Schizosaccharomyces pombe: one gene and its partners. Changing the gene in region 1 together with any one later gene gives a genetic interaction. Each region holds a gene or a part of one and is shown on either strand. Other genes may lie near its edges.

Region 1 (7,627 bases):
ACTCATGTTGGAGAATATTCTTTACATATTCATATTCCAAGCGAACAGTCATTTTATAAGTCTTCAATACGGTTCGACTATCAGGCTCAAAGATTCGAGAATGACATTCCGAGATAAAGAGTTGACTAAAATGAAAAGCTAACGCTACGGGATACTCAAATTGCAAAGATTAGTTCGGTTTGAGTCTTTGCAATTATACTTCACAGACTCTTTGCCAATAAACTAATAGCACTAAGGTCATCAAGCAATATAGAAGAACTGTCAAAACATTTTGAGAAATGAATCTCTTTCGAACGAACATATTGCACGAATCAGCAGTGTCAGTCGTCTGAATATTTAGCGATACAACAACTTTGTCTGTTCAATCTCATGTGCCTGTATAGTCCCTTAAGCTTTTTTTTGTAGTAAAAAAAACTAAACTATTCTTTCTGTTTAATTCAGAAGCTCTCCAATGTCAAGAAACCCAATGCGCCTTTAAGTGTGAATAGCTACAGCAATCAGCAAGTCAAAGCAAAACGCATTCTTGTCTTTAAAAGAATTTATTTTAATCAATATAACAGTTGAGTTTGGGAATAATTCTAGAGAATGAAGATGTTGTTAGCAATCCTCTTTTCCTAAAACACCCTAACCTACTCCATTTCGTTGAAAAAATAAACCACTTCCCCAATTCTATGATTTTGGGATTTTTTTTGGGACTATATTAGAGAATTTCTTGTTTTATATATATCAACAGGAGCTCATTAACGTCAACACTTGAAAACAAAAAGTATTTGTCAATTATAATTATCACGAGGTTCATTATTGATTTTTCCCGAATAAGATTATCTCCAACCAAGAAAACGGAATCTTTGAATCTAAAAAAACACATTCTTTACGTTTCTTAACATTCCTCGGCATAAATTGTTCTCTTTTGAAAAAATCGTTAGCAAAAGAGTTGCTGAATCGCAAACAAGCTACGAAAATTGCATTATCTTAAAAGAAATTGTGTAAATAACAATTTATAAAGTATTTCGGGACTTTATGAGGCCGACACATTGGTCGAGTAATCAGTGCGAAGTGGATTTTACAGCTGAAGCTCTCACAACCCTTTCTTTGTCAAACCGGAATCATGAGGAAGATCCAATTCAACCTGTGTTAAAAAATTCCAATTTATTTCTCTTGAACAGAGACATATGGTCCTTGATCATTAATTATCTTGATGCATTCGATATATTACGCCTGATGCATTCAAGTAGGCAGTTTTACTATTGGCTTCGTAAATCAGCTGTCGATGAATGCTGTTTTAATAACAATTTTCTTAATTTACAACCTTATCAACGTACAGTTCCTGTTGCCAGTGATTTAGAATGGGCTACTGAAGTTGATCTCTACGGAAACCCACCAATTTTAAAACTCCAACTTCGCGATTCATTTGTCTGGTCAATGCTTGCCAAATTCCAGGGACTTCAGACCATTGCTTTAGACGGAACAGGTGTTACCATTTCTAGTGTAACGAATATCTTGCTGAACATTCCTACCGTTAAAACCTTGAGTATAAGATGGTGTGTTGGTGTTTGCTCTCTATCTCTCATTGAGTTTCTACAAAATTCTAAAAGCAGGACATTTTCATTGGAAAATCTATACGTCCTTGGTGTTAAAGGATTAGAATTACTAAAACCTGTTTTGCTTGATGGCTCTGAGGATGACACATTAACAAGCAATTGGCATAGTCGAGTAATTTTATTTCAAAATGCTTTAGACGCTTTACCAACTACTCATGGTAACCCAGTCGAATGCGATATTTCACGTTGCCCTTTGAATGCATGCAAAATTGCAGGTCAGGAAACTGAGCTTGCCGATCTTTTTTCTTTGCAAAAAGTCCCTGCTTGTATCTATTGCTTAAGGGAATGGAAGAAGCCGATTTGTCGTTATTGCATAGATTTAAGAAGTTGTTTGGTTTGCGATTCATTTGTCTGTCCTTCCTGCATATCGTTGGATTTTGATTTGCAAATACAAGCATTTGCTCGTCAACACCGTGTAATATCTACTTTAGGTGTTGTTTATCCTGAAAGAGAAGACTCTTGTTTCCATAAGATCAAGGCCGCCCAATGGCATCAGATCAGTCCTAGAAGTCTTTTGTTCCAATTCCAAGAGCAGAACCATATTCACCACAAAAAGATTCGCAGGAAGCTGTTAGCGGCTGGATGGAAATGGCCTCAATCACAGATATAGTAAGGGCAAGGCGACCTAGGTGAAAAAACTTTTTACTTTCACAACTCTTCTTTTTCTTTCATGACTAGTCTAATAATGATCTTATGCCATTCTTACTCAGAATTTTCGTTTTCATAACCATGCGAAACTCGTAAAATAATGATATACACTGAAGTAGCTAGCATTGCGTTAGAGGGTGATCTTTGTAGTAACATAACATTTTGAAATGTGCACACTAATGGTTGCTCTGCTGTTCGTCTTTTCTAGCTATTCTTATAACGAAGTAAAAATTTATTGATTAACGCTTAACAAACAGTTGGAAATTCGGTTTGGAATGCTCGTTTTTTAGTAACTGTGTTTATGTCTAAGCGCAATCCTCCTGTGACTAATATCGCGGACTTGGTGTCAGATTCTTCCTTAGATGAAGACTCGCTTTCTTTTCTCGAAGAGCTTCAGGATCCAGAATTATACTTCAAAAATGACACTTTCTCTTCCAAGAGTAGCCATTCTGATGGCACCGTTACTGGGGATACGTTGCGTAGGCAGTCAAGCGGTGCAACTGCTTTAGAGAGATTGGTCTCACATCCTCGTACTAAAAATTTTGATTTGCAAGGAAATGGAGGACAAAATTCTGCTTTGAAGGAAGTGAATACTCCAGCATATCAGTCAATGCACCATTTCGAGCATTTAATAACACCCTTGCCCTCTACTAATGCGTCTCACAGTGAAGTTTCACTCAGTGCAGGAGTGAATGATCTCAATTCTAATTCGGAGCATGATTTGTTACCTAAAAGTGTAAACAAAACCCCCGGTTCTTTATCAATTTCAAGACGACGAAGAATCGGCAGAATTGGATTAGGCCCTCCAAAGCGTGCTGAGTACACGTTGACGGATCCCTCGAAGACTTCCGATACCAAAAACTCTACAGAAGCAGATGAGGATATTGAAATGAAATCTCGAGAAGTATCACCAGCTTCCAACTCTGTTGCTGCAACAACTTTAAAACCTCTGCAGCTGCATAACACTCCTTTGCAAACATCCCAGGAGCATCCCAAACCTTCTTTTCATCCTTCTCAGTTTGAGAGCTCTTTTTCTCCTAGGGTGCAGTTTGATCACGATGTTGAAAGAAGAGCTAGTGAACTTCATTCTCGTCCAGTCACCGTTTTCCAAGAGCCTCAGCGTTCTGCTTCTCAACCATATGAATCTCATGCTCTTTCTCCAAAGGTGGCTCCGTTATTTGATAACAGTCAAGCTACTCCCATACCCAAGCGTCAGCAGGACGTTGTTACTGTTGCCAATCTACAATTTATCAAATTAGGAGTTGTTGGAAAGGGTGGAAGTAGTATGGTATATCGCATATTTTCCCCCGATAACAGTCGTTTATACGCTTTGAAAGAGGTGAACTTTATTAATGCAGACCAAACTACTATACAAGGATACAAGAACGAAATTGCATTATTAAGAAAGCTTTCAGGCAATGATCGCATAATTAAATTATATGCTGCCGAAGTTAATGATACTTTAGGGCAACTCAATATGGTGATGGAATGCGGAGAAACGGATTTAGCAAACCTTTTAATGAAAAACATGAAGAAACCCATTAATCTTAATTTCATCAGAATGTATTGGGAGCAAATGCTAGAGGCGGTCCAGGTAGTTCATGATCAAAATATAGTGCATTCGGATTTGAAGCCGGCCAATTTCCTGCTTGTAGAAGGGAATTTGAAGCTGATTGATTTTGGCATTGCCAAAGCAATTGGTAATGACACCACTAATATCCATCGTGATTCCCACATCGGTACTATTAATTATATGGCACCTGAAGCTTTGACAGACATGAATGCTCACACAAACTCTGGCGTGAAACTCGTAAAGTTGGGCAGGCCCAGCGACGTGTGGAGTTTGGGATGTATATTATATCAGATGGTGTATGGGAGGGCCCCGTTTGCTCATCTAAAAATGATCCAAGCTATAGCAGCTATCCCTAATGAACAATATCACATTCATTTCCCCGAAGTTGCCTTACCTGCTAATGCTGTCCAGGAGAAAGAGGGATCGTTGCCAGGTGTAACTGTCGGGCCTGATCTAATGGATGTTATGAAAAGATGCCTGGAAAGGGATCAACGGAAGAGACTTACAATACCGGAATTGCTGGTTCATCCCTTTTTAAACCCTTTGCCATCCTATTTGACACCTTTGGCCAAAAAGCCGTTACCTGTTTCTGGGCACACCAATAATGCTCATCCACTTAGACTCAGCACAGAAATCTCAGCTTCTCAATTATCAATGATTATAGAAAGGTCGGTGGAGTTGAGTAAGCACAAGCGATTAAATAAGGAACTTATTGATAGCATGGCTTATGATTGCGTTAGCAATTTACGAAAAATGCCAGAATAGAGGCACTAAATTTTCCGATTATTCTTAAAAAGGTTTTATCTTTTACAAAGTTTCCCAAACATCATACGAGTTTCTTAATGTTAACGACTTTTTTAGGGAGCTTAAAGGCTTTTTTTTTTTAATCTTTAATTTTTCGCTCTTTTAAAAGAAGGTAATTATGACCTTGATTAATGAACCACATATTATATGGCCCCTGATATCTATACTTTGATACTATGTAAATATAAAGAACGCTATACTCCCAAACGCTATAAGTTGTTTGTTTACGATATAATACCTTTTTGTGTTTGTTTTTTTTAGGTAAAGCAACCAAATGAATGATGCTTTTTTATAAGAAACTTTTTTAATATAATTGGGTTATATTAGACATTAAAAAAAAACCCCATAACTAATGTAAAACAAAAACCTTTAAAAATAATGTACCGCCGGTAGAGATGATTATTAACGCCATAAATGTTGGTGCAGGAAGGGAATAAAACAGGTTCAATGGAATATCGATAATCCTAAAAAAACTTGTGAAAAAATCTAAGTTAAATCTAATCACTATCCAAAAATTTATTGGCAGAAGCACCCAGATACAGGCGTAGAGTGTTAGGGGAGCAATTTACCAATTTGCAGCGAACCTTTTTGCGCCCTGCTTCATCGTGAGCACGTAGTCGATGACAGCCCCCAAAGGCAAAATAATAAGGCTTCCCACTCTTTTTAAACGTTAAAACATCAACAGGAGGAAGCTCACCAGCTTCCAAATCTTCTGAAGTCAAACCGCATGAAGCTGGAGGAGTTTTCCCTGTCATGGTTTCCATCATACTATTGACTTTGTTCATATCTAAAACAGGAGGTATAGGACGAATTAACTCAGACATATCAAGCTCAACAATGTTGTTATTTGAGCCAGTGTGAATCGAAGTCATGATGGTTAAAAATGAATGAAAGAAAGAATATAAAAAAGATAAAGTGAACAGAAATTTTTATAAATAGAACAGAAAATTATAAAAAAAGGCAAGTTAATAAGAATGGAAAAGTGGATATTGATATCGAGTATATTTACTCCTTGATCTGATATCGTTTCCTGTTGTACTAATGATCTGCCCCACAACCTATCTTATCCCGGTATGTATATAATAATTTACAAATATGACATCATTATCAAAGATGAATCGATACTTAAAATCTTATGTAAAAATTTGTCAGCATGTTAGCGAAACACGTTAAACCGACTAGGACAAAGCAACGTGGTTACGTTACGAGGTCTGGGTTTGTGTTCTTAGTAAGGTAGTTGGAGTAGCTTATTCATTAAATGTAGATGGCAATAAAACACTATTGCAAAGATGTCAAAGTGTAGAATGATGCTACCTAAATAGAATTTCAAGCACAAATACTTAGGTATAAATAACTTGGAGTCGACGGAGAACTGTAAATGCACGAGTACATTCAAAAATGTGTAAACAAAAGGTTCACTTTCTGAAAACGCTTTCTAAAATGTGACAGAGATAACCGACACAAGATCATTAAAACAATATGAGTATTGTTTTCGAATGGTGAAAGAAGCATTAGCTAGTTGAAGAGTGCAAATTTTGGTTAAGAAGAAATTCATTGGTAGAATGTAGGCTTGAACCGTTAGTCGTCAACAAAAGTGGAATTTTAAAGATTGCATCTGAAATCCTTAAATTTTAAGAAAATCCATCCTTAAGTCAGGATTAAGAAACCATAGTATATTATTTTGTTTGTATAAGTTCGGCTGCTATATTTGCTGAGGCCAAATTGATTCTTGGCCAACGTTTTATATCATAAGATTTGAAGGCAATGTAGCAAATTGAATATTAGATTATTTTAACACTTTAAAAATGTTAGGTAATGTAAGGAATAACATTTCAATTTAAAGAAGGACTGAGCGACAAATGAAAGGCTGTTCTTTTTTTTACAATTGTTGAGACAATTACAAGAACTATGGTACACATAAAAACTTTTAAAGAGTAGCAAGGTTTTAATACAATTCTTAAAGTTTTTTGAGCAAACAGATCACAATGATCCTTTCATATGTACATGCTTTAGAGAAGTAAGGTCAATACTTCAATCGGACTTCTCATCTACAATGAAAACGCGAATTTCATAATAAATACTAATCATCCATCCGTTCTCTCATATCCTTGGTATCCTTTATCCTTCCCATTAGTCAATCTCTAAAGCCATTAATCCTCATTTTTTTATAATGCCATCGCTCAATTCCCGCAAAACATCAAACCTTTTATGAACAGATACTATCATTTACTTACAATATGTTTTTAGCAACATAGCTTCCTATTAGCCTGATGTGAGATTAACTTCGATAAACTTTCAATATTAAAACTTGCATTCGATTTGAATCATCTTTACTGCCATAAAATAGAATTGCGATTTAGGATCAAGTTAGCACGACATCATGGTGTTTTCCAATATTCGCGACCTGTTCTCAACCACCACTCACCACTTCATTAATTCCAAGTTTTAGAATTCTTTAGCTTTTTGAAGTATTACTTGTGAATTCCTCAAGTGATAGTATTTATTGTTGAAATTGCTAAATATTTTTCAATTTCATCCTGCATTGTTTCCTTCTTCAAACATTATATCAGGGAGAAAATTGAAGTGTTTTTTTGCCTGGAAATCTAATCCAATTGCTACGAAAACGAATTATCATATCAAAAAGGTAGAATAACATTAAAAAATGAATCCTGAACGCTGGGCTGCCGATTTAGTCTCTAATGTTAAGGATTACGGCAAGCGAATCATTGACTATGCTCATGAAAAAACTAGTAACCCTCAACCTGTTACAGTTCATACTACAAACAGTGCCAAGGGAAGATTGGGAGAATTTCTTTATCAAAATAGAGTATCAGTTGGCTTAGGATCGGCCGCTTTGTTCCTTGCTGGATTATCCTATTACAAACGCTATGATTATGTACGCAAGCGTCGTGCTCCACGTGCACCCAACCACCAAAAAACCCAAGTTGTTGTCTTATCTGCGTGGAACCCTCTCGCCTCAGTAATTGCTCACGATTTGGAT
Region 2 (7,902 bases), on another chromosome or scaffold:
GAAGATGAAATGATTTCTTTAAGCGGAGTGGATGGATATTTTGAAAGAATTGCTAATTGTTTTACTTTGTGATGTGTAAAATTGCAATTTCTGTGATGGCATCGCTAACTCCATCGATATCGCTGATTCCATCAGCACTCGAAATGGCGAGCAAGCTTGCGCAACTTGCGAAGGCAAAGATGTAGGATGAAAGTAGCGATATTATTGATGAATACAGTTGTTGGGCAGGAAATATGATGGGCGATGCGATGAAAAGACGCGAATGGTTAAGAATTTGAAGAGTGAAAAAATAAAAGTAAAATAAAATTAATACATTAAATCAAAAGCAAAAAATAAAATTTATAAAATAAATCAAAAGTAAAAGTATCATTTTATAAATTAGTAATGAAACAAAACTTTGAATATGGAAAATCTCTCCATTAGTTTATTGAATAAACAAATATTTCGAATTTTTATTATTGTACTTTAAAATTTTTAAATTATTTTACCTTATAATTAATTTAATTTTTATAATTTACTTTTTTGCCCTTTAAATTTTTCTGTTTATTATTTATTATCATTCATGAATTTAGTATAATCTTTATTTTATTGCTATTATAATTTCATTAAATATATTTTGATTTCTTTTTTTCTTATTACGATTGAACACTTTTCCTCTTCTTATGGTTTATTTTGTTTTCTTTGAGTTTCCTCAACTACTTTCACCGTTGCTTTCTTTACTTTTTTTTTTCTTTCTTTAATTTATGATTATTAATTTATTATTTATTTTTTACCATTTATGTATCATATCCAAATTTTTTTTTTTTTTTATTTCTAATTTCCTATTATCCTTACTACATCCAAGCCATCCTCACTTCCCCTCGCCTCTCTTCTCCAACCGTAGCATAAACAATCCTTTCTTTCACAAAACTTTTTCACCCCCCTCACCTCTTTCTCTTTGTCCCAGCATTGCTTACCCTATCCTGCCTACCATTAAATCCCACATCCCACATCCCAGCTGTTATTGTACTTCCCAATTCTTTCTGTATTTCTGTACTGCGCTGGTTCAACGAAAACGCAAACATAAAATTTCCTTTCACCCACTCGTCCCTTGTTATCGTTGTTTTTTATTTTATCATTTTTATTTACTCTTATTTTGATTATTTTTTACAAGTTATCAGCGAGCGTGTTTATTTATCCATCCCTCTTGTTATCAGTCCAAGGAAAACTGTTTTACCGACCAGCGCATAAGCACCAAATCTGTTTTTCTTGTTTTATCTTTTCTAATTTTCAATGTATGCTTTTCTTTAGTTTTTATCGTGAGAAACAGCATTTGGCTTACAATTTTTCACATTCACATTCACATTCGCATCACATCTCATCTCATCCCATCTGCTACTCTTTGGCAGCACTCACGGATTCCACGCAATTAGCCCAAATCCGGTGATCTGTAAACATTTTTTAGCTTTCCAACAAGTGCAAACCTGACGGAATCCTTTAATACTTTTTTTTTCTTTTTCTTTTTTTTTTTTTTTTTTTGGTTGAGATAAATAACAAATTTTCTTTATTTTTTTCTCTTACACTTTAACTTTGAAATTAATCCATCTTTTTCATTTTGTACACAAATATTATATGTTATTTATCTTTTCTTTTTTTCAAGGTTCTCTCTCTTCTTCCACCACTACATGGAACGGTCCCGTTTTTTAAAAGTGCCTACTTTATTTGATTTGAACCGAGGAGTCCAAGGCACTTAATTCCTCCCTTCCCGTCTTTCTTGCTCCGCTTTGTCGGACCACAAGACAACTGCTGTTTTGACAGTTTTTGGCCTTAAAACTTAGTAAGTCACAACTACTACGAAATAGAGTCAGCAGCGTTATTACCACGTTGTTATCTTAAAAGACCTCCTTTTAACCTAATCACCTACCTCTCTTTACCACTACCCATTAGACTTCCCGGTTGTAGTGGAGGGTTCTAGGTACTTGGTGGGGGTTATGCATGCAGCCGAAGCAGAGGTGGTAACAGAGTACACAGGCTGAAGAAGATGTTGGGTAAATTAGGTTAAATGGCATGCATTACGATAAGGGAAATTACGCGTTCTTGGGATGACAAAAGTGAGTGCACAAATATCATATAGCGGTGCATAATCATCACATACCACGTAAAGTATTGACATACAGTGGAAAAAGGAAATATTGCTTCACCGAGACATCATAATGAGTCCATTACATAATAGGATATGTTTTAGCTAGCGAAGCTTCTTCTCATCCCACTCTAAAGGATCAGAGAGAGTTAAGGATGAATGGAGAAGGGTTTGTGTAAAGTAATATTGTGCTGAGTAAAGAGATATAGGGAGAGAGTTGATAATACAAAAAGATGGGGGTTGCAAGTTGGTGATTTGACTTATCTCTCAAAGAAAAGAAAGAACTTTAATATCCAATGGCCTTAGTTGGCAGCATAAAGAAAATTTGATACTTTCGATAGCTCTAAAAATAAAAAACAAAAACAAAGAAATTTAAACAAAACAAACATTTTATGCGATAAGAATGGGTTAAGATTGTAGTAACATGTGTCGGCACTTCTTTTAAGTCAAAGTATGTAAATAAAATGAAATAACAATGAATGACTAACTTTCATACTTCTACATTACAACTAAGTATTTATATGTGTTTGTCAATTACTAGTTTGTACTATATTCTGCTATTTTCATCATTGCTATTATCAATCCGTCAAGTGGTTAATTGATTCATCCCTCATTTGGAATCCTATTTGTGTCACTTCGTATACCATTAATATCCTTTTTTCTGCCACCCGAAATTGTAAAAATTTTTTTTACTTCTATTACTTCCACTTTGTTTTCTTTCTAGACTATTTTTGATGCCGCTTCCATAATCGGCTTCTTTTTGATAAGTCATCTCTCCAGATACCAGATATCTACTCATATACGAATTTACGTATATCTCCATTTATTATCTACGCAACTTATCCTTACACCAAAAAAAAAACAGTCTCTCTTGTCAAGGCTGGCGTTTCGTAGTTTTAGCTAATTCTTTGGTTCTCTCTAATTACTACATCCATGAATTTTTGTTTCTGTGTAATATTATTTCAAAAATTATAAAATTAAATTCCATTTACAATACGGCTCATTCGAATTTGGGGAAAAATATTGTTATTCAAAATTTCCTAATCATCTAAATGTGTACTGTTAAAAGGCTCAATTTACTAGCATCTCATATTCGAGAACTTGTAGATGCAAATATCGTGTTTGTATTCCTTTATTAGTAATAAACTTCGTGATAAACGCTGACCAGCAGTGTTTCATTTCTTTGAATAAATAGAAAACCAATCCTTATAATTAGGGGAAGTTCAACACGGTACGCATTTCAATAATTTCATTTACATTTGGGCCTTTATTTTTTGCTGTATTTTTTTTTTAGTACGCATTTGTGCTAATATAATTCTCGTACAATTAAATGCACCTTAGGGAACTTTACTTAAGCCCTCATCATTCGGGCGTCAAGCATTTTTCGTAGAAAGGGTCTTGGAATTTCTTCTTCATCATCTCTCCAAGACCCGGGTAGTGTTCGAGACTGTAAGCTAGTATAGTTCGAAGTAGATGCCGCCTTTCGTAGTTCCAATCCTGCATTGTCCATCGCTGATCGTCGAAGCTTGTTGTAACCAAGTCTTCCCAGCTGTTTTACAGGCGACCGCTTTTGTCCTTCCAACAGTTGTATCTTTTTCGGAGTCCGTAACACATACTCGTCGGGGTGTTGATTGATCTTCATCGTCTTAAAATTGCCATCCATTTCATTTTCTCTTGCTATCTTCTCTTCAGCATGAACATCATAAGGTGACGCTAGTGATGGTAAAGCATAGCCATGTAAGGTTTTTGAAGCTTTCGAAGGTTTCGACACTTCGTCCGAACGAATATTCAACTTTTCGAGTTTCTCCACATAAAGACTCTGCGGAGAAGGTGGGTGGACAAAAACAGACTTTGACTTCGTATCAGTCAACGTTGAATCAGTCGGGACGGATTCACCACTTGAAGCACTCACTGCCGTTTCATCGCTCTCTACGCTAAGTTTGCTAACTTTTCGATTTGGTAAACCTTCACCGTCTGAAAATTTATTACACAATTCAGAAGGGCTTAGCTTCTTTCCGTCCAAAGATGTGTGCAGCAACTTGTTCATGCAATCCGCCACTTGATTCGACGTGCCGTTTTTTTGCTGTAACGATGTAATTTGGCCATCTTTATCAATAGGTGTAGTCCTTAGAGATGACGCATTAGCTCTGTATTTCATTAATGTTGCAGTCGTATGTAAGGCTCTGCTTGATAATTCTTTACGGAGAGTAGGTCTTTTCAATATCGGTTGTTGTGTAGTTAGAGTGAAACCCGGACACGATAACGTTTGCAAGGGCTTGCTAATTCCTAACTTAGGAATATGAAGTAGGGGGGATTGTGATGCTTCAATTGTACAATCTACAAACATCTCAGCGGTACTGCTTTCAGGTTGTTCATTATGATCCACAGGACTTGTAACACGCATTTTCTGCATAGAGTTTACTACGGTTTGCATGTGTCTTTGATAACGAGCATCCATGTCACGCAGTTGCTTTTCCAACTCACGTCGCAATATCTCTTCACGTTGGGCTAAGCGAGAAGCTATAACGTTTTCGAGTTCACTTTCCCGAGCAGAAAGCCTTTGCTCGCGAAATTGGAGATCATTTTCCAATTGAATAAGCATCTGATGTTTTTTATGAAGCAAATCGCTTTGTTCCAAGACTACTCTCTCGGATTCCAATTTACTACGAATATCGGATAAAATAGGAGAGCGAAGTAGCTGGTAAGTAGTAGGTCTGAGGTCTGAATTAACTTCTAAGCAATGCCTGATTAGAAGGAAAACATCGTCGCTGTAATGATGATCCCAACAGGAGAGATTACCCTGGCAAATATTACGTTGCAATTCCAAATACGACCTTCCTTCAAAGGGATGCGTAAGCATGCAGATCTCAAAAATAACACAGCCAAGAGCCCAAACATCAGACTTCGCACTGTAAGGGCTGCTCCGAATTATTTCAGGAGACATATAGTATGGAGTTCCCACGTAACTCTGTGTGAAGACACGCGTATTGTCCAGCAATTTGGATAAACCAAAGTCTCCTAACTTAACTGAATTATTTTCATCAAGAAATATATTCGCAGGTTTGATATCTCGATGCAATACAGATTGTTTAGGATGAAAAATTTCTCTTGGCCACTGTGAGTCACAAGCAGGCGCATTTTCTCCATAATGGCAGCGATACAGAGCAAGTAGTAATTGCGTAAAAAATTTGAGAACCTCTTGCTCGGTAAATCTCTTTTTCTCTTCTTTATAACGTTGAATAAGATTGGCTAAATCACCATGACCACAATATTCCATATAAAGGTTTATTACCTGCGCAGAACGATTCAATTCTTCTCCGCAGTATTGAACAATATTTGGATGCTTAAGATTACGAAGAATATTCACTTCATCTGCGATGTACTGCTTTTCCTGCCGAGTAATGTTACCAAAGTGTATTTCCTTCTGAGCCAAAAGCTAAAAAGTATTAATAACTATAAAAATAAATTGCTTTCAAACTTACAGCACCATCCTTTAAGCGTTGAACCTATAATAGTTAGCATAATGCATAAAAAAGGAGTTGCAAAAAAAAATATCGATCAAAGTTTCAATTTGAAAAACTGTTTTGAATAGAGTACAAACAATAGCGAAAAGCATTTAAATCAATATAGTTTCCCTGTTTCTTAAGAAAACAATTGATTCAATGCTATAGATTCATTTGCCAACCACAAGTAGTTGCTCGCAAATAAACTGAAAACAAGAAAGAATTTTGCTATCCAATAACCAATTTCAGTGAAAATAAGATTAAAACTTACTTTATAAATCCTTCCAAAACTCCCATGTCCAATACACTCAAGAATCTTGTATTTTTCCATACTTCAGAACAGAAGTAGCCCATGAGATTCAGGTAAGCTTAAAATAAAACTAAATTTCTCGGTAGGACCTTTAAAGAAAAAGAAAAATTCTTCTATCAATTAATAATATAAAAAATACTGCTTGGAGTGATTGAGTGCTAAGTATATGAATTTCAAGCCAAGATGTTTATGTTTGGTTCTTCTGCAGTGTCTCGTTAAATCATCAAGTGTAAACAATGTTGCCATGGTTAGGAGTAACACTGTTACTTCAGGTGCTTATTGCTACGATTATAATATATATCCAGTCGCATTTTAATTTCTGTAAGAAAAAGATACGCTATTCAATAAGCAATGAGAAAAAGTTGTGGAGAATTTTTATCATCTATAATGCCTTTTATGACATGATTGTATAAGGTTTGTTGTAAATGAGCTTGGAATTTAACAGAGTCCTTTAAATCAAGTTTTAAAAAAATGAATAGCTAAACGTATTAATATTAGTTTGAGGCTTTCAAAAGATTTATCTGCATGTTTTATAAAAATCAATAGCATTAACAATAAACTGTTATTTTGCGTTAATTGGTTTTAGTGATCTACGCTAGGCTTCATGATTCATTCCATGCAAGCCATCTCCTTCAAATGAACTTACCGCTAATTTATATACGTTGCAAAACATATGTTACACAACAGTCTATCACAAGACTCTAGTAATATTGCCGGAAACATGTCTTTTGGGGGAAGTGGTTCTATCACGAATCGATCAACCTTAAAGCCACTTTCTGTCGATGATTTACGTTCGCCCTCTCCTCAAAAAGAATATCGTGGATTTCGAACATCTGTTTCTAACATTCCACAAGAAAAAAAATTTGTTCCCAGTCATCTTTCACACTTTGGATCAAGTCAGCAGCGTCGATTTGCCCCAGAGGTTAGCTCGCCTTTAGCAGAACCATATGAGTCATCGTAAGTAATTTCTTTGAAGAGTTTAAGGGACATTTGAAGACGGAGGATTAAAAAATTGTTTAGTATAATTGCTTTTTTACCTAATATCTATCTATATCCAAATTTGTTAGAGCTTCAGCCTAATCCCTATGAATTTTTAAATATTAGACATAAACTCTTAGAACCTTTACTAATTTTCTCTAAATAGCTCTTCCTTCCGTTTATCTCTCTCGAGTCCCCCTTCTTCAAAATTCGGCGGACCCAGCTTTGGTACACCGAAACCGTTTTTGCATACAAATCGTTTAGGTACCGGATCTTTAATTGAAGATGCTCCTCCTACTCAATCCATTTATGACTTTTCTTCCTCTAGGCAAATTAATGCTCTCAATGTTGGACAAAGTTCTTCCCCTTTTTCTCCTGTCTCTGAAAAGGTATACGACCCTTCTTTTACCATGTCTGGCGCTCCTCAAGATTCAAATACCTCCGTTATCGTTTTCGGTTTCCCACCAGAATTGACAAATCAAGTAATAGCTGAATTTTCTCGTTTTGGAACTATTATTAGCGAGAATTCATTAACTGCTTCAAGTGCCGGATTCACTCCCTCCAAGGGTCCCATATCTGGTAACTGGCTACAATTAACATATGCTGAGCCTTCTTCTGCTGCCAAAGCAGTTTTGTCTAACGGAATGTTGATAAATGACTCTTTTATGGTTGGATGTATATACAGCCCCGCAGAAGCGAAGGAGCATGTTCCGAAAACGTTAAGAAACAGCAATAAAGACTTGGAAATGACGGATGCCTCTTCCTCCGAAACCTCAATGTCTATTCCCGTGCATGCTGATGCCCATTTCCAATCCCAATCTGGTCTTGGTAAAAAAGTCATTGTTCAACACAAAAATGATATTTTTAAATCTTCTCAGAAACATCAACCTCGTAATTGGTTATTTCATTATTTATTTGGTTTTGGTTCAACTGAGCCAATAGATGAGGAAGAAAAATCTAAAACTGCTTCTGACAACACTTCGCTTCAAACT
Region 3 (8,955 bases), on another chromosome or scaffold:
AAAAGAAGAACTCCCAGAGCTTGTAATCCATCTAGCATCCTTTGAAGATAGTCTAACGCCTGTCGGCAAGTTTGTTGGTGCTATTTGAGGTGCTGCTTTCCTTTTGAACGACATCAATACTTATTTCGATTGGTGTACGTGGAATAGCAAATTGGATGGAAAGGTTAACGCGACGCAAATTTGCAGCACACATTTAAGCATCATCAGTCAGAAAACAAAGAAATTCAGCGTTGCGATTGAGAAAATAAAAAATTGTTGACTAAAGTTAATCATTCAATAAAAATACCTTTTAGATAAATTTTGTTGAACTAATAATAAAATTTCACTAGTGGGCGCATTGAAACAAAAATAATATTGTAATACTACAAAATAACATAGAAAATGTTACGTCGTACAGTCAATTAGCATGATCGGAAAATGTATTACTGTTGTATTTTTGAAGATTACTTTCAATCCGAATCTAGTTGGACAAGACTTATGAGAAATTTAAGTCAACTCAAAGTACAATCTATTCATATTTTATTTTTAAGATCAGGAGAATCTGATTGCTAAAGATACAATTTAATTAGCTCTTCGCTTACCCCACTCTTCGAATCAATGATCCCTAAATCGGTAATGAGACCTGAGACAAATTCGGGTGGTGTAACATCCAAAGTAGGATTATTTCGAATTTGTTCTTCATTCATGATCAGCTCGTTATGAATAGCATCTGATGGAGTTGGAATTGGTTCAGGTTCAGGATGAACAGTTTCAGGAGATGGATCATCAAATTCCAGAATAGGACGACTAAAGGGAATATCATATTGAGAAAGGGGAAACATACGCACGAATTTATGACTAAAAAACGTTAGTACAAATTTTAAAATTAACAGGGAAATGGAGAGATCATAGGGAAAAATAATTGTAAGCTGAATGGATTCAACGTTTACGTACCTTTCTGCAACTGCGTAAAAGGGCTTATGTGCATGTTTGGCAAAAACGGCAAGTTGGAAAGTACCGATTTGATTAATGAGTCCTCCGTTTTCGACAACACCTTCTGCGCCAACCAAGACCAAATCTACACGGTTCATAGTAAAGCTTACAGCGGAATCCAAAACCATGCAAGTAGGAATACAAGCATTTTTTAATGTTCTCGTCATTAGACAGCCTGAGCCGCTAGGTCTTGATTCTGTGACAAAAACTTTGAAACGAACGTGACGCTTGGCAGCAGCCAAAAGAACAGCCGCAACACCGCGTGAAAACCCATGGGTAAGAATAACACTACCATCTCGAATAAGAGGGTAACCTAAATGTGCAATTCTTTGTCGACAAGCACGAGCACGCTGAATAAAGAGTTTTCCATTTTCTACCAAGTGACGTTTGCATTGCTCAAAATCCTAAAGCCGTGGAGAATTAGTAAAGAAAAGAAAACTACTTTGCATCAACACATACCCCGACATCGTGTAGTGATCGAGTGACAAACCGTTGGAAAATGTCACAACCAGCTGAAAGCGAAATGTTGTTTTGAACGCCTTCCTTCAGCGTATTTGAGCCATTTTGTAAAATGTCCATAAATTCTGAAATTGTCTTGGCTAATAGAAAAACATCAGTAAATTCATTTCTCACATGAGTACTACAAATTAACATACCTTGAGAGCGCGACAAAAGCTGGACTAAAGCCTCAATGGCGGCTACAGGCATCGTGATTTCTGGATCATCTTGCAAAAATTTTTTGTAAACCTGGACGATGTCAAATTCTCCTTGAGAATGTCGAACGATTCCCGAAGAATCCGATTCCACCATATTCGCAGATGCTAGACGCTCTTGCTTAGTAGCAACATCTTTTCCATACTTTAAGGATATCCAACAAAATCAAATAACGGGCAATGCCTTTTTGTATTAAATTGTAAGCTACGCAATTTGGTATCTGATTTAAGGATACGTAGAACTGCGGTGAGTTTTCCTTGTGATCTATTATATTACAATACACAGGTTGTATAAGTAGCAACTGAGTATAGGTATTGTATTAACTGAGTTATAATGTTACCTATCACTAATATAGCTCATAACTGAACTGAGGAACGAGGTTCAGCAGTAGCTCTATTTATATTATTCAGATAATATAGATCTTAATAGATTATCATTAAGATCAATCTCAATATCGTATCATACATGGTACGATATATAATTAGAACATGTGACATATAGTGATACGCAACGTAGATGATGCGATGTCGAGATTGATATTGATAATACTATATTAACAGATAGATTATTTGGATAGAATCGATAGAGATACAACTAAACCTCATTTCGCAGTTCAGTTATAAGTGATAGGTGACATTATAACCTAAATAGTACAATACCAGTACTTAGTCATTACTTATATAACCCGGCTATTATAATATAATGGATCATATGCAAAATTCACCAGTTTTTCGTATCGTTAAAGCAGATACCAAACTGCGTAGCTGACATTATACGGCGTTTTGGATACTGATCTACAGATATGTTCCTATAGATATTTATGTAGGTGATTTGAATGGTATTTACATATAAATTGGTTTATTAAATAGCTTATATTTAATTAAAGCTAAATATTGAGAATAATTTTAATATCATATTCTTGACTGAGTACATCTGAGGATAATCATGAAATTCTTCCTCGGTGATCAGTAAACAATGCTTGACTGTTGATTTCCAATATGTAACGTTCAACGATACTTATCATTGTATAGATAGTGAATTTGTAGTATAATTTACTATGTTCCTAATAGTTGAGCGTATCATGAACGAAATATGTCAAAACGCTTCCATTTTAAAAAAAAAGGAGTACTGATGAAAGCAGTAATTGGATTTGGTAAAAAGTAATATAGAAAGTTTTTTAAAAAACTATTTTATGTTTAAGAGACCTTTCAAAAGTTCATGACCATTTCTACGAGAAACTAATCTTTAGTCCAACCTTCGTAAATCTCGCTTATATTAAGCTTGATTTTACTTCGGTATTTATGGATGACGCGAACACTAAACTGGTATAGAAAAAACGCTATTACTTTCAGCATCTAAAGAAAATCATTTATGATAATTTCTATGCTTTCAATTATATCTAAATATTTACATGCTCAATCATTCAAAGCGATGCTACAAAAATATTATGTTTTAGTTGTCGACTCGAATTTCAGTAAAATCCTAACTTTATTGCTAGACATCCGTAGGTTTTCATTTATGCTATAAATCTGTGAATCACCTCGTGATCGGCAAGTTGTTAAAATAATCTTTTAAGTAACTCTAATACCATGCACTATAGTAAAGAAGGTATATATTTCTTTGCGTGCCTAGTTCTTGTTTTCAATAGCAATAGTCGTTATCTCCCATAGCTTTTAATTCTGCTCATCGATGAGAGTAACATATTCCAATATCTTCTCTACATTATCAAATCGTTTTGCAATTATAAAAATATCAATAGCTTTCGATTTCCCCCAATATGGCTAATGCTAAAATTTATAACATTGATGTAGAATTTGGCTTAGTTAAGATGCAAGTTGAAAATGTCTTATGTTTTATGATTATCAGAAAATGTTTTGTGTAGTATCTGATATTAAAAAATGCATATCAACTTTTACAATAAATTCGCTTGCGCAAAATGTATAGAGACTGCATATCTCGTTTCTTCTCCCTGCGGAGTGCCTGTAACTGGCGTCTTGCACTTTCATTCAAAATCGAAATTTTTTGGTAAGGATTTGATAGAGATTGTCACTTGGTAGCATATTTTTTCTATCTTGAATTCCTTTTTCTAGGCTTTTGTGGCTCTTGGCCGTCCACTCTTTATTTTTGTATTCAACTGTTTTTTAATCACATAAGTCTAGTCATAATCTTTTGAACCAACTCAAAGCTTCTTTTTTTTATTTTTTTCTTTGTTAAAAAAAGTCTTTATTCCTTTTATTATATCAGTTTATGGATTTCATCGTGTATGGCTTTATGTGTTCATTCCTTCTGGGCAACGGCGGTAGACACAGCGACTTCATGTCATTTTATATCATCTGAAAACTGCTTAGTTTTATTACAAGCCTTAAAAATTAATATTTATCTCTGTAGTGAGGTTCATGGCTTACAATTCTTTACCTCTATCCCTTTATTTTCTACGGTGAAACATATACGCCCATATCGCCCTCCAGGATTAGATAGAGACTATTTATTTGTAGTTCTCAATGATGATACTTATTTTTCGATTTATTGGGACGAGGATTATCAAAAAGTGATCGTCGACCATCCTCCAGTTCGCTATCGAGTTACATTTCCTTGGAATCGCAACGCGAAAAGCTACTGCCTTGTCGACTTAAGGATGCGTGCTATTTTTTTAAGCATTGACGAAATTTCCATGATATGTATTAGAATCCTTTCTGCCGAAGAACGGTTGAAAACTGGCCGTTCTATAGATAGCGGATTTCCTTTTTCTTTTCCAGTGCATCTCATATATGATATGTGCATTCTCAATGATTCCAGTACCCCAACTCTTGTGGTCCTTCACAGCGATGGCTTAGATTGTTATGTAACAGCTTTTCTTTTAGATTTAAGCTCAAAAAGTTTGGGAAAGGGGATTAGACTATTTGAGCGGGTTAAACCGTCAATGATCATGCCCTTTGGAAAAAGAGGTTTGCTGGTTTTTGAGAGTTTGTTTATTCATTGCATGTATCGCGGTAATTTTGTTACAATCAATGGTCCTTGTACTACTTATATGCATTGGACTCCTTTGAAAGGGCAAAAGATGCATTATATTGTTTGTGATACTAATGGATATCTTTTCGGAGTATATTCGAGTATCTTGGGAAAAAACAAATGGAGCTTGGTTATGGAAAGACTACCAATCCCACCTTTCGACTTTATTACTTCTCTAAATTCCATCCATGAGGGACTCTTGTTTATCGGAAGCAAAAATTCGGAATCTAAACTTATTAACCTGTCTACTTTGAAGGATGTTGACTCAATACCCAACTTAGGACCCATTCATGATTTACTAGTACTCAAAAACGACATTGAAAAAAGTTTCCTTGTATGCGCAGGAACACCAAGAAACGCTTCTTTAATTTATTTTCAACATGCTCTGAAATTAGATATTTTAGGGCAGACGAAAATCTCGGGCATCCTTCGAGCTATGGTCCTACCATCATATCCAGAGCATAAGCTCTTCCTCGGGTTTCCTAGTGAAACTGTTGCTTTTAATATCAAAGAAGATTTCCAGTTAGAGCTAGACCCATCTCTATCAACCAAAGAAAGGACGATTGCGCTTTCAGGGACGAATGGTGAGTTTGTACAAGTCACATCTACTTTTCTTTGTATCTACGATTCTGCAAAGCGCTCTCGTTTAGTTTATATTGAAAAAATCACGAACGCTGCTTGCTATCAAGAATACTCCGCAATCGTTATCAATGGAACAGCATTGGCAATATTTAAAAAAGATACAGAAGTTGCACGAAAAGTTTTTGAAAGTGAAATTTCTTGCCTTGATTTTTCAGCGCAATTTCAAATAGGAGTTGGATTTTGGTCTAAGCAGGTGATGATACTTACATTCTCAGATAATTCGTCAATTAGCTGCGCCTTTCAAACCAACGTTCCATCATTGCCCAGAAATATTATTTTAGAAGGAGTTGGTGTTGACAGAAATCTTCTTTTAGTTTCTAGCGGAAGTGGTGAATTTAAATCTTATGTACTTTTCAAAAATAATCTGGTATTCTCTGAAACAAAACATTTCGGTACAACCCCTGTATCGTTTAGGAGATTTACGATGAATATTGGTACCTATATCATATGCAACAATGACTGTCCACACATGGTATATGGGTTTAATGGAGCACTATGTTATATGCCGCTTAGTATGCCTCAAAGTTATGATGTGTGTCAGTTTCGTGATAACTCAGGGAAGGATTTTCTCATTTCTGTATCATTAGGGGGCTTGAAATTCCTTCAACTTAATCCATTGCCAGAATTGACCCCAAGAAAAGTACTTTTGGAGCATGTTCCGTTACAAGCCATTATTTTTCAAAATAAACTGTTGCTTAGAACACTCGAGAATAGATATGAAGATTACGAAAGTTACAAGGAAAATTATCACTTGGAGTTGGTCGATAGTTATGATGATAATTCGTTCAGGGTTTTTTCTTTTACCGAAAATGAACGTTGTGAGAAAGTTTTGAAGATTAATGAGAGTTCTTTACTTGTAGGAACAAGCATTATAGAACAAGATAAGTTGGTGCCGGTAAATGGAAGATTAATTTTGTTAGAGTTTGAAAAGGAGCTTCAGTCTTTGAAGGTAGTTTCGTCTATGGTACTATCTGCGGCCGTGATAGATCTGGGGGTATATAATGATCGATACATCGTTGCATTTGGGCAACAAGTTGCAATCGTTAAACTTACCGAGGAAAGGCTTATGATAGATTCTAGGATATCACTAGGTTCTATAGTTTTACAACTCATCGTAGAGGGTAACGAGATTGCTATAGCGGACAGTATTGGACGTTTTACGATTATGTACTTCGATGGCCAAAAGTTTATTGTCGTTGCCAGATACCTTTTTGGAGAAAACATTGTGAAAGCAGCATTATATGAAGGAACAGTTTATATAATAGCAACTAATAGTGGCTTGCTAAAACTTCTTCGTTATAACAAAGATGCAAAAAACTTTAATGACAGATTCATTTGTGAAAGTGTGTACCATCTGCATGATAAAGTTAGCAAATTTCAAAATTTCCCAATAACAAATACCAATTCGTTTTTAGAGCCAAAAATGCTTTTTGCAACGGAAATTGGTGCTATTGGGAGTATAGTATCATTAAAAGATAAGGAGCTAGAACTGGAGGAACTTACAAGAAAAATTCGAAAATTAAAATTTTCATACTTGTCATCTATGGACTACGAAAGTATAGAAGCAGACCTCATTTCTCCAGTCCCGTTTATTGATGGAGACTTGGTTATCGATGTCAAAAGATGGGCATCTTCAGAACTTTTCCGATTATGCAGAAGTGTAGAACATAGGGAATCACTCAATTCTTACCAAAAAGTTCAAGCCCTCCTTGAGGAAATACAAAGTTTATGTTAAACGTATTATTGCCTTTTTGCTCTGAGTTATTATCTTACACTTTATGGATCATTGCAAATTTGGAAGTTTGGTTCTAGGACTGTATTATGCATTTGTGAGTAATACAAAAAAAATCTTTTGATTTATAATTATAAGTCACAAGCTGTCGCAACATGGCACTGATAAATACAAGTACATAAAGCTTGGTTAAAAAGTTATCAGTCTCAATTTCTTTCGTAAAATCTTCTTCGAAATTCAAGATATTTGTCATAATTGTTGCATCGCTCATCTATCTAAGACGAGATGACATATATTCTGGATTTCAATAATTAAAATGAAACTATTAAATTTCATATGACAGAAACTGAGCACTTCAACTGGCATAAAAGCTCAAAGGAATTTTTTAAGCTAAAAAATTAAAAAAAAACTTTCTCCATTTGGCGATCACGTGTTGCCAAGTATTTTTGGAGTGTAATTAAACTGGAGAAACTCTAGTGTAATTTCTCTATAGGAAGCTAGGGTCAGAGGAAATTAGGATCTTAAAAATTGTTAGTAGAATAAAACATGAACTAAATGCTTACCTTTGGCAAGCCACTTTTTGATTTGATCTTCAGTTTATGGTCTTTACAGGGGATGGTTTTCTGAGTAAGAATATCTGTAAAACTTGAAGGCACTTCTTTCCAGTGTTCTTTCAAATCTATTTCAACTTTAAACGACGAGGTAGAGCCTTCATTGCTTATGGCTATAATGACTCCTGGACGAGTAAATACATAAACTGAATCGTCAATGTATAGTTGAAAAGATAGCACGTATGTAAACTCTGGGTAGGTCTCAACCAAATTTTGACGCGTGCGTATCATTGAAGAAAGATGTCTAAACATTGGATTGGAAGTATTGTATTTACTTTTCCAAAGACCTTCTCTGTTGTCAGGATCGCTACCACCGTCAAACATCTGTTCTTGTCCATAATAGATAATTGGAATACCGTCCATGAAAATAAGTGCAGTTAATGCGTTAAGAGCCAGCTAAATAAATGTTAAAATATATAAAAAATGCAGGTACTAAATTGAAATATTGTTCAATAGACTTACGGCGATGTCTTTGGTTTCATGAAAAAAGCGAGGAAAATCATGATTTTCCAAAAAGTTACACAAGACGGTAACATCTTTGAAGTAATGTCGAACATCAAGTACGGCCTTATCATAAAATGAAAACATAGAATGTTTGGGGTCAAGAAAGGTTTCCCGCAATTGAAAAAATAAAGGGAAATTTAAAGTCGAAGGGAGATATTTTTGATAATCCCCGACGACTTTAGGATCTCCATGAAAAACTTCTCCTGTAGTAAATACATTAGCTGCTTCAATAAATGTTGGGAAGAAGGATTTTTCGACATGTTTGGCTGTGTCCAATCTGATACCATCAAATTGATAACGTTTAATTAGATCAGAAACCCAATTTTGAAAAAATTTGCGAACTTCATTCTTTTCGGTTCGAATGTCTGGTAGGTTCACATGTGAATCTCCTAACCAACCTGTAATTGTCTCATGGGGATCATCGTAATTTTGTACAAACTGCCAGTTGTGATAATACTTCCCAGAGTTAAATGGTTGATAAAGTAAGAAGTTTACGGGTTTGCTTCCGGCATGACCCATATGGTTGACAACTATGTCAACCATGCAAAGCATATTTTTCTCATGAATTGCATTGACTAGTTCTTTCAAATCTTCTTCTGTCCCAAAATTCTCGTTTAACTGAGTCATATCTTGTGCCCAATACCCATGATATGCCTGACCACAATCCGTAGTCTCAGATATGTTTTTAACTATTGGGCTAATCCATATTGCCGTACATCCCAGACTTTTAATGTAATCAAGGTTACGAGTAATACCCTTCCATGTACCCCC
Region 4 (6,780 bases), on another chromosome or scaffold:
TTAGACATTTTATTTTTTGATTTGCATTTTGGAAAGGCTGCCATAGTCCAAGAATCGCTGTGCACTTCATTTGGTGCTGGAATGTCTGCTGCTTGTGTTGTCGATATGGGCGCTCAGAAAACATCCATCAGTTGTGTAGAAGAAGGGGTTGTCGTTCCCAACTCAAGGATAAAAATAAACTATGGAGGAGATGACATTACGCTTTTATTCATGAAATTACTCATGAGAAGTCATTTCCCGTATCAGGATATTGACTTAAAAACTCCGTATGATTGGTCTTTAGCCAATGCTTTAAAAATAAAATATTGTGGCCTAAGTGAAGCAACCTATAATGTTCAATTGAATAGCTTCTTTTCGCGAACACCTGATAAAGGGACTAGAAAATTTACATTTAAAAGCCTTGACGAAACAATGCTTGCACCTCTTGGATTCTTTCGCCCTGACATTTTTGAAAATGAAAATAAACTTCATGATCGGTATACTTTGTTTCCAGTGCCGGTCGATGTATATGACAACCAACCGAATAATCCCGAATCACTTGCCCAAACCACTTTATTGCAAATATCTACGCCGATATCCAACATCAAAGCTAATGGAAAAGATGATGAAGAGAAAAAAGAAGAAAGTGATTTGGTGACACCTTCGGTAAAATTCAAGCCTCCACGGGTAGTATATTGTGGCTCACTTGCTGCTCCAGAAATAAAGAATGAGAAACTGATATATCCTTTGGATGATGCAATCAACCAGAGTATATTTAGTGCATGTGATGGAAATTTAAGTGATGAGAAGGCAAAAAATCTTTACTCAAGCATTTTGATCGTCGGTGGAGCTGGTCAGTTCCCGGGCTTTGCTCATTTACTGGAAGAGCGTATCCATTCCAAGCGTGCCAACATCCCTACTATTTCGGTAATTCCTCCACCAAGAAGTATGGATGCTCAATTTGTTGCCTGGAAGGGTGCTTGTATATACAATCGCATTCGGATCGTATCGGAGCTGTGGATAAAAAACAGCGATTGGAAAATGTTAGGTAGCCGTGTCTTGCAATACAAGACATTGGGTTATTTTTGGACTGGCTAAACCATATGTTTATGCTTTCATATTCGTTACTAATTTTTTAATGCAACACCATATGTTTTTGCTATTTTTCATTATTTTTAGATGTTAATAAACCATGGTCTACAAAAACAGTACAGATGCCTCTAAGTTCATGTTTTTTGAAATTTTGAAGATACTTCATCAACTACTCATTCTTTTTGATATTTGAGTGCTCAAATAAGTTGAATTTATCATAATTTCCCTAAGTACGTATTTCTTTAAACGTACCATTTTGTATTTAAGTAATCTTTACATTCCAAAAATTGTAGTATCATTGTAAAAAAATTGAAAAAATAAACTCCCAAGGCGAGACTCGAACTCGCAACCTTCTGATTACCATCATAAGAGTCAGACGCTCTAAACCGATTGAGCCACTCGGGACTTCGTTGACGACTTAAGTTATTCAGTGTAATATGTAGTGCAAAAAGAATCCTCATAAGAATATATATTTTGTTGTTTGACGATGATTGCCTACGAAATTTAAAAGGTGGAATTGTTTTCTAGTTAAGATTGTTTATCAATCTTGAGAGACTCAGCATTGCTTTAGAAAACAAATCAGCATGCCAACCGTAACAGCCAAATATCTTGTTACTCGCAGCATTACTTAAAATGTTAATTTTATTTCTAACGGTAATATTTGTTCAATATTTTCGTATTTCGCATTAAGTAAATCACTAGGAAATTGAGATGCTTTTGAAATAATGATTATTACTGATAGTGATCTAAGCAAAATTAGGCGTCGTTAATCAACTTTTAGACAACGATTAATACAGTACTTCTATGCAATATTTTAATAAACGAACTCTATGTGATGCTAGCCATTCTGTACACCATGAAAAGCAAGCCAAACATGTCTCGCTAAACGAGCAAACAACCTGTAAAGACCAACGCGAAATTGATGTTTAGTACTTTTTAAAATATTCTGAAATCTCGTTTATTTTCATATTAAGACAAGTGAAAAATGAAGAAAGGAGGTGTTCGATCTTATCGGCGCTCCTCTACTTCAAAACGATCAGTTATTGACGACGATTCGGAACCAGAGTTACCAAGCATGACAAAGGAGGCTATTGCTTCTCATAAAGCAGACTCTGGGTCGTCGGACAATGAAGTTGAAAGCGATCATGAAAGTAAATCTTCGTCGAAGAAATTGAAAGAAAATGCCAAAGAAGAAGAAGGAGGAGAAGAAGAAGAAGAGGATGAATATGTTGTAGAAAAGGTTTTAAAACACCGTATGGCGAGAAAAGGTGGAGGCTATGAATACCTTTTGAAATGGGAAGGTTATGACGATCCCAGTGATAATACATGGAGTTCAGAAGCCGATTGTAGCGGTTGCAAACAGTTGATAGAAGCATATTGGAATGAACATGGAGGAAGACCAGAACCTTCTAAAAGAAAGAGGACTGCAAGACCTAAAAAGCCCGAAGCAAAGGAGCCTTCACCAAAGTCTCGTAAAACTGATGAAGATAAACACGACAAAGATTCCAATGAAAAGATTGAAGATGTGAATGAGAAAACTATTAAATTCGCCGATAAATCGCAAGAGGAATTTAATGAGAACGGCCCACCTTCTGGTCAGCCGAATGGTCACATTGAATCTGACAATGAGTCTAAATCTCCTTCACAAAAAGAATCGAATGAAAGTGAGGATATTCAAATAGCAGAGACCCCTAGCAATGTTACTCCGAAAAAGAAGCCTAGTCCGGAAGTTCCCAAACTTCCGGACAACAGAGAGCTGACGGTTAAACAAGTAGAAAACTATGATTCTTGGGAAGACTTGGTATCTAGCATCGATACAATTGAACGAAAAGATGATGGAACCTTGGAAATTTATCTGACTTGGAAGAACGGTGCAATATCTCATCATCCTAGTACTATCACCAATAAAAAATGTCCTCAGAAGATGCTTCAATTTTATGAAAGCCACTTAACGTTCCGTGAAAATGAATAATTTTTTTGTGTTCCTTTAAAAAATTCTTTTTCTTTTGTTTATAAATTAGATTTCGCTTTTTTCTGACGTTATTGCTTTTATCAAGTCCCGTGTCGTAGTATGAGTTCTTGTTCTCTTACTCGAAAAATGCATCTAACATTATACTTATACAAATTTTTGTTAGGCGCTTAACATCACATTCTAGTTTATGAACGCCTTTGTTTTCTTTCACATTGAATTGATTACGAGTGACTTGAGAAATGTAAAATACCTTTTGTCGTTATGGTTTGACATTCTAAATAACCTAAGGTTTGACATTCTAGATAACCTAATTTCTTTAATTTTACCATTTATTAATTTAGCATGCACTGCTCTTCATGCATTCAAAATCGTGTCTAATAATAACGTAATTTTACTCGTTAAATAAAGAATTTATGCATGCAAAATCGTTACTCATAAACCTCAGCAGATAAATTTGTTAACAAAAATGAGGGTGCATGAATATCTGCCTTCTCCGTTTCTTCTGTTCCATATGCTTCTAAGTTTGGGTTACCAACTGAACTCAAAGATAGGGTCAAGATGTAGTGTATCAAGTTTGAATCTTTATCAAGTACTATGTTGCCTCTTGAGAAATTCGTTTGAGAATAGCTGTATAGCTAAAGATAAATAAGGGTTTGAATGTAATTGTTGCTATGTAAACACAGTTGTAATTATAGATTTTTAATTGTTGCTGCTTTTGTACATTAGCAAAAAAAAATACAAGCAAGTTATGATGAAGAAGTCTGGTTATGCTATTTTTCTAAGAAGCTGGGATAAATTCATATTTTGTTCCTCTTTTTTTTTTTTTTTAAATATGTTTATGTCAGATTGGCAGATTTACCATATAAACACATAATGGCAAATTATGGCAAACTTTGCAAATGAACATGTATTTATCGAATTTCCTTGTTATCTTTTTTTATTGCTAGCAACACATGAAGACATCAGTCCCCTCTCGGCAATACATATTATCGATTGACACTACTGTATGCTGAGACTGAACAACAGAGTTCTCACTTGGACTTTTTGCTTGCTCCTCAAAGACTTTTAAAAAATTAAATAATAACTATTATATTTCTAACTGTTTTTAATCTAATTATTAGTCACAAGTTGCGCTTTTGTTATATATATGACTTCTATTCAAATTGTGTATACCTCTTTGAACTGCAACGTACTGTGGCTAATTATAATAATATTTAATGCTAAATGTTTTTAACGATGTTGATTGATAAAAAACCGCGTAATCATCAGAAAAGGAAGGATGCTTTTCTTTGCTATTCAAAACAAAGGGACGTAATTGTGCACTGTAACATTGCAATACGGTAGATTGTTCATTGACCCAAAATCACTAGACTTAACCAGTTTTATAATTTGCCTAGTAATCCTTGAAGTGTAATGATAAATTCAAAAAGCAAAAAGAAGGAATCAAATGCCCTCGTTTTAAAGTCGCTTTTGCGGGAACCTTACAACAAAGTTTGCGCGGATTGTAAGCGCAATGAACAACCACGATGGGCAAGTTGGAACTTGGGTGTTTTCATTTGTATCAGGTAAGTAATAGCTGCTTAAAATTGAAATCATTAACACTTGTTAGATGCTCAGGAGTGCATCGAAGTCTTGGAGTTCATGTTAGTCGTGGTATGATTACCTAGGATACAAAATTTAATGTTAAAAAACTCAGAATCAGAAATTAACAGACAAAACTAGTAAAATCTGTTGATTTGGATTCATGGACAGATGAACAAACTGAAAATATGACAAGATGGGGAAATGAACGTGCTAATTTGTAAGTTTGTCTACTTTTCAAAAAAACTTTGCGCTCACGTCCTAAAATATAAAAACTAACAACTTTAATAGGTATTGGGAAGCCAAACTTGCGGGTGGTCACGTTCCCTCTGATAGGTAGGTTTTTATTGATAATCCTTAGCATAGCTGGCATTGAATGTTATCTTTCTAGGCTACATACCCTTTACACGTTGCTAGCAAATTGGAAGCTTCTTTTTTGTTTTTTTTACTGCATATTTTCTGACCTAGATTTAGTAAAATTGCGACTTTTATAAAGACGAAATACGAATTTAAAAAATGGGTACTCTACCCTGAAATTCCTTCTCCGGAAACGCTAAAACCGGAACAGAATACCAGACCTGTTTCAGAAGTCAACGCCTCTTTAGATCTTAATACTGCTTCTCGATCTTCCAGTGCTCACTCAGTTAAAAGCACTTCTTCTGCTACAGTTACCAACGTTACTTCCAAGAAAGAAGCTATATCAGCTACCACTTCTTTAGCCCAGTCGTCTCCTAATTTAGCTTCTTTATCCAAGCAACCTTCTACTGTGCATGCTCCTTCGACTAGACAACGAGATTTAAAGTCTTCAATTCTCTCCTTATATGCATCTCCACGACCACAAGTAAGTTCTTCAAGCATAACCACCAATGCAACATACCAAAATCTACCGTCCCCAGTTTCAACTAGTACTACGTCTAGCCAACCTTATGGTGCTTTTCATCAACCGGCTACGACAGGATCCTCCTTTGTGGCAGATAAGTGGAAGATGCCTATGTTCACTTCTAATGTGACCAGTGCACAACCATCTGCTAGAGCATCACCCGTTCAATCCAATTCTTCTCGGCCGCGATCTTCTTTAGACAGTAAGATTATTAATTCTCATGATGTTTGGAAATAGCCTTTAGTGACGCTTATACAAATTAACAGAGGTTTTTACTACTTATTTTGAAATATTTCATTAATTTAGCTATTTAAGTTCATCAATCGATGTCGGCATTTATGGATTCCTATATTCAACCTTCATTATAATACATTTTCTACTTTTCAGTAAATATAAATGACATAAATGTATTTATTAGGTCTATTATCGCTGAAAGTTTATTAAGTATTAAAAGCTAGCACACATTGTATGTATTCCGTAAAAAGATGCCTACGATATTTGGGAAAATTGCCTTGATCAATTTCAACTTTCCCAGAAATTTGAAAGATTTGATTTACATGAAACAAACCAGTGGAATAAAGAATGTCCCTCAATCTATTAATGTTAGTTGTACAACAAATGTTAGATTTGCTATACGCCCGTAAAGAAGTTAACACTGAAAGGAGCGGAGTAGCGAATTTTGAGACATGGAAATAATATGGACGAATGTAGAAAAGAAAAAAGAAAAAAGAAAAAACAAGAAAAAAAACAGGATCAACTATATTAACCCTTGACCTCCTGAGGTTTTAAGCAAACAAGTTTACATATGCTTGTTGTTCATTCAACATAATAAAAGAAGGTAAAAACTAAATTTCTTCTTTCACGTTACAATTCCAACCATTGTTTTGCTCTGACAACATAGACAAACTAGCTCCCAAACACCATCCAAGTTCCTTGTTGTCAATTTTCTTAGCAGTATGGAGCTGTCGGTTATTGGGGATTTCATACCCAACCGAAAGTAAAGAAATCATATAATTCAAATCTAAACACCACTCTGGCTCTTCTTTCAACTCTTTAAGGGCGTCAGTTAAAGAAAAGGCGTCCTGCCAGTATGTTGGTCCACTACAAACACTATTTGCCAAATATTTCATATCTTCAATGGTAAAAGTGCTTGGCATGCCTAAACTGATCATACGATCGTAAAAATAACTGATTAAATAAATGGGAGAATCAGTAAACGTCTCAGTGAACTTGGGTTGATGAACACCATTGAAAGAACAAGGACGGACTGGGCAAT

What was found.
Region 2: mutations in mph1 (region 1) and fin1 together harm fitness more than expected from each alone (negative genetic interaction), as found in Schizosaccharomyces pombe (4 studies listed by BioGRID, with this or other methods).
Region 3: mutations in mph1 (region 1) and rik1 together harm fitness more than expected from each alone (negative genetic interaction), as found in Schizosaccharomyces pombe (3 studies listed by BioGRID, with this or other methods).
Region 4: mutations in mph1 (region 1) and swi6 together harm fitness more than expected from each alone (negative genetic interaction), as found in Schizosaccharomyces pombe (3 studies listed by BioGRID, with this or other methods).

What each region holds. Positions count from the first base shown.
Region 1 is NC_003423.3:371,339-378,965, forward strand, and holds mph1 (dual-specificity protein kinase Mph1), read left to right. Parts: upstream 1-2,455; 5' UTR 2,456-2,550; coding exon 2,551-4,587; 3' UTR 4,588-4,954; downstream 4,955-7,627. Other genes in the region: F-box protein Pof13, read left to right, coding at 1,021-2,211; srx1 (sulfiredoxin), read right to left, coding at 5,124-5,498; SPOM_SPBC106.03 (steroid dehydrogenase), read left to right, coding at 7,289-7,627. UniProt on the Schizosaccharomyces pombe protein: Involved in mitotic spindle assembly checkpoint signaling, a process that delays anaphase until chromosomes are bioriented on the spindle, and in the repair of incorrect mitotic kinetochore-spindle microtubule attachments.
Region 2 is NC_003424.3:1,352,411-1,360,312, reverse strand, and holds fin1 (NIMA-like serine/threonine protein kinase Fin1), read right to left. Parts: upstream 6,093-7,902; 5' UTR 5,954-6,092; coding exon 5,894-5,953; intron 5,626-5,893; coding exon 5,602-5,625; intron 5,556-5,601; coding exon 3,471-5,555; 3' UTR 3,129-3,470; downstream 1-3,128. Other genes in the region: nucleoporin Nup40, read left to right, coding at 6,654-6,889, 7,077-7,902. UniProt on the Schizosaccharomyces pombe protein: Promotes chromosome condensation and nuclear envelope dynamics during mitosis. Activity appears at metaphase-anaphase transition.
Region 3 is NC_003421.2:1,464,225-1,473,179, forward strand, and holds rik1 (CLRC ubiquitin ligase complex WD repeat protein Rik1), read left to right. Parts: upstream 1-3,657; 5' UTR 3,658-3,949; coding exon 3,950-7,072; 3' UTR 7,073-7,556; coding exon of another isoform or gene 7,557-7,589; 3' UTR 7,590-7,632; downstream 7,633-8,955. Other genes in the region: elongator complex subunit Elp4, read right to left, coding at 1-114; translation initiation factor eIF2B alpha subunit Gcn3, read right to left, coding at 549-837, 934-1,376, 1,432-1,571, 1,629-1,782; SPOM_SPCC11E10.09C (alpha-amylase-like protein), read right to left, coding at 7,557-7,589, 7,633-8,076, 8,143-8,955. UniProt on the Schizosaccharomyces pombe protein: Component of the Clr4 methyltransferase complex (ClrC) which contributes to the establishment of heterochromatin by specifically methylating histone H3 to form H3K9me.
Region 4 is NC_003424.3:1,699,278-1,706,057, reverse strand, and holds swi6 (heterochromatin (HP1) family chromodomain protein Swi6), read left to right. Parts: upstream 1-1,959; 5' UTR 1,960-2,056; coding exon 2,057-3,043; 3' UTR 3,044-3,652; downstream 3,653-6,780. Other genes in the region: Ino80 complex actin-like protein Arp8, read left to right, coding at 1-1,077; SPOM_SPAC824.09C (GTPase-activating protein), read left to right, coding at 4,457-4,608, 4,653-4,696, 4,766-4,844, 4,916-4,960, 5,099-5,741; Golgi nucleoside-diphosphatase Gda1, read right to left, coding at 6,350-6,780.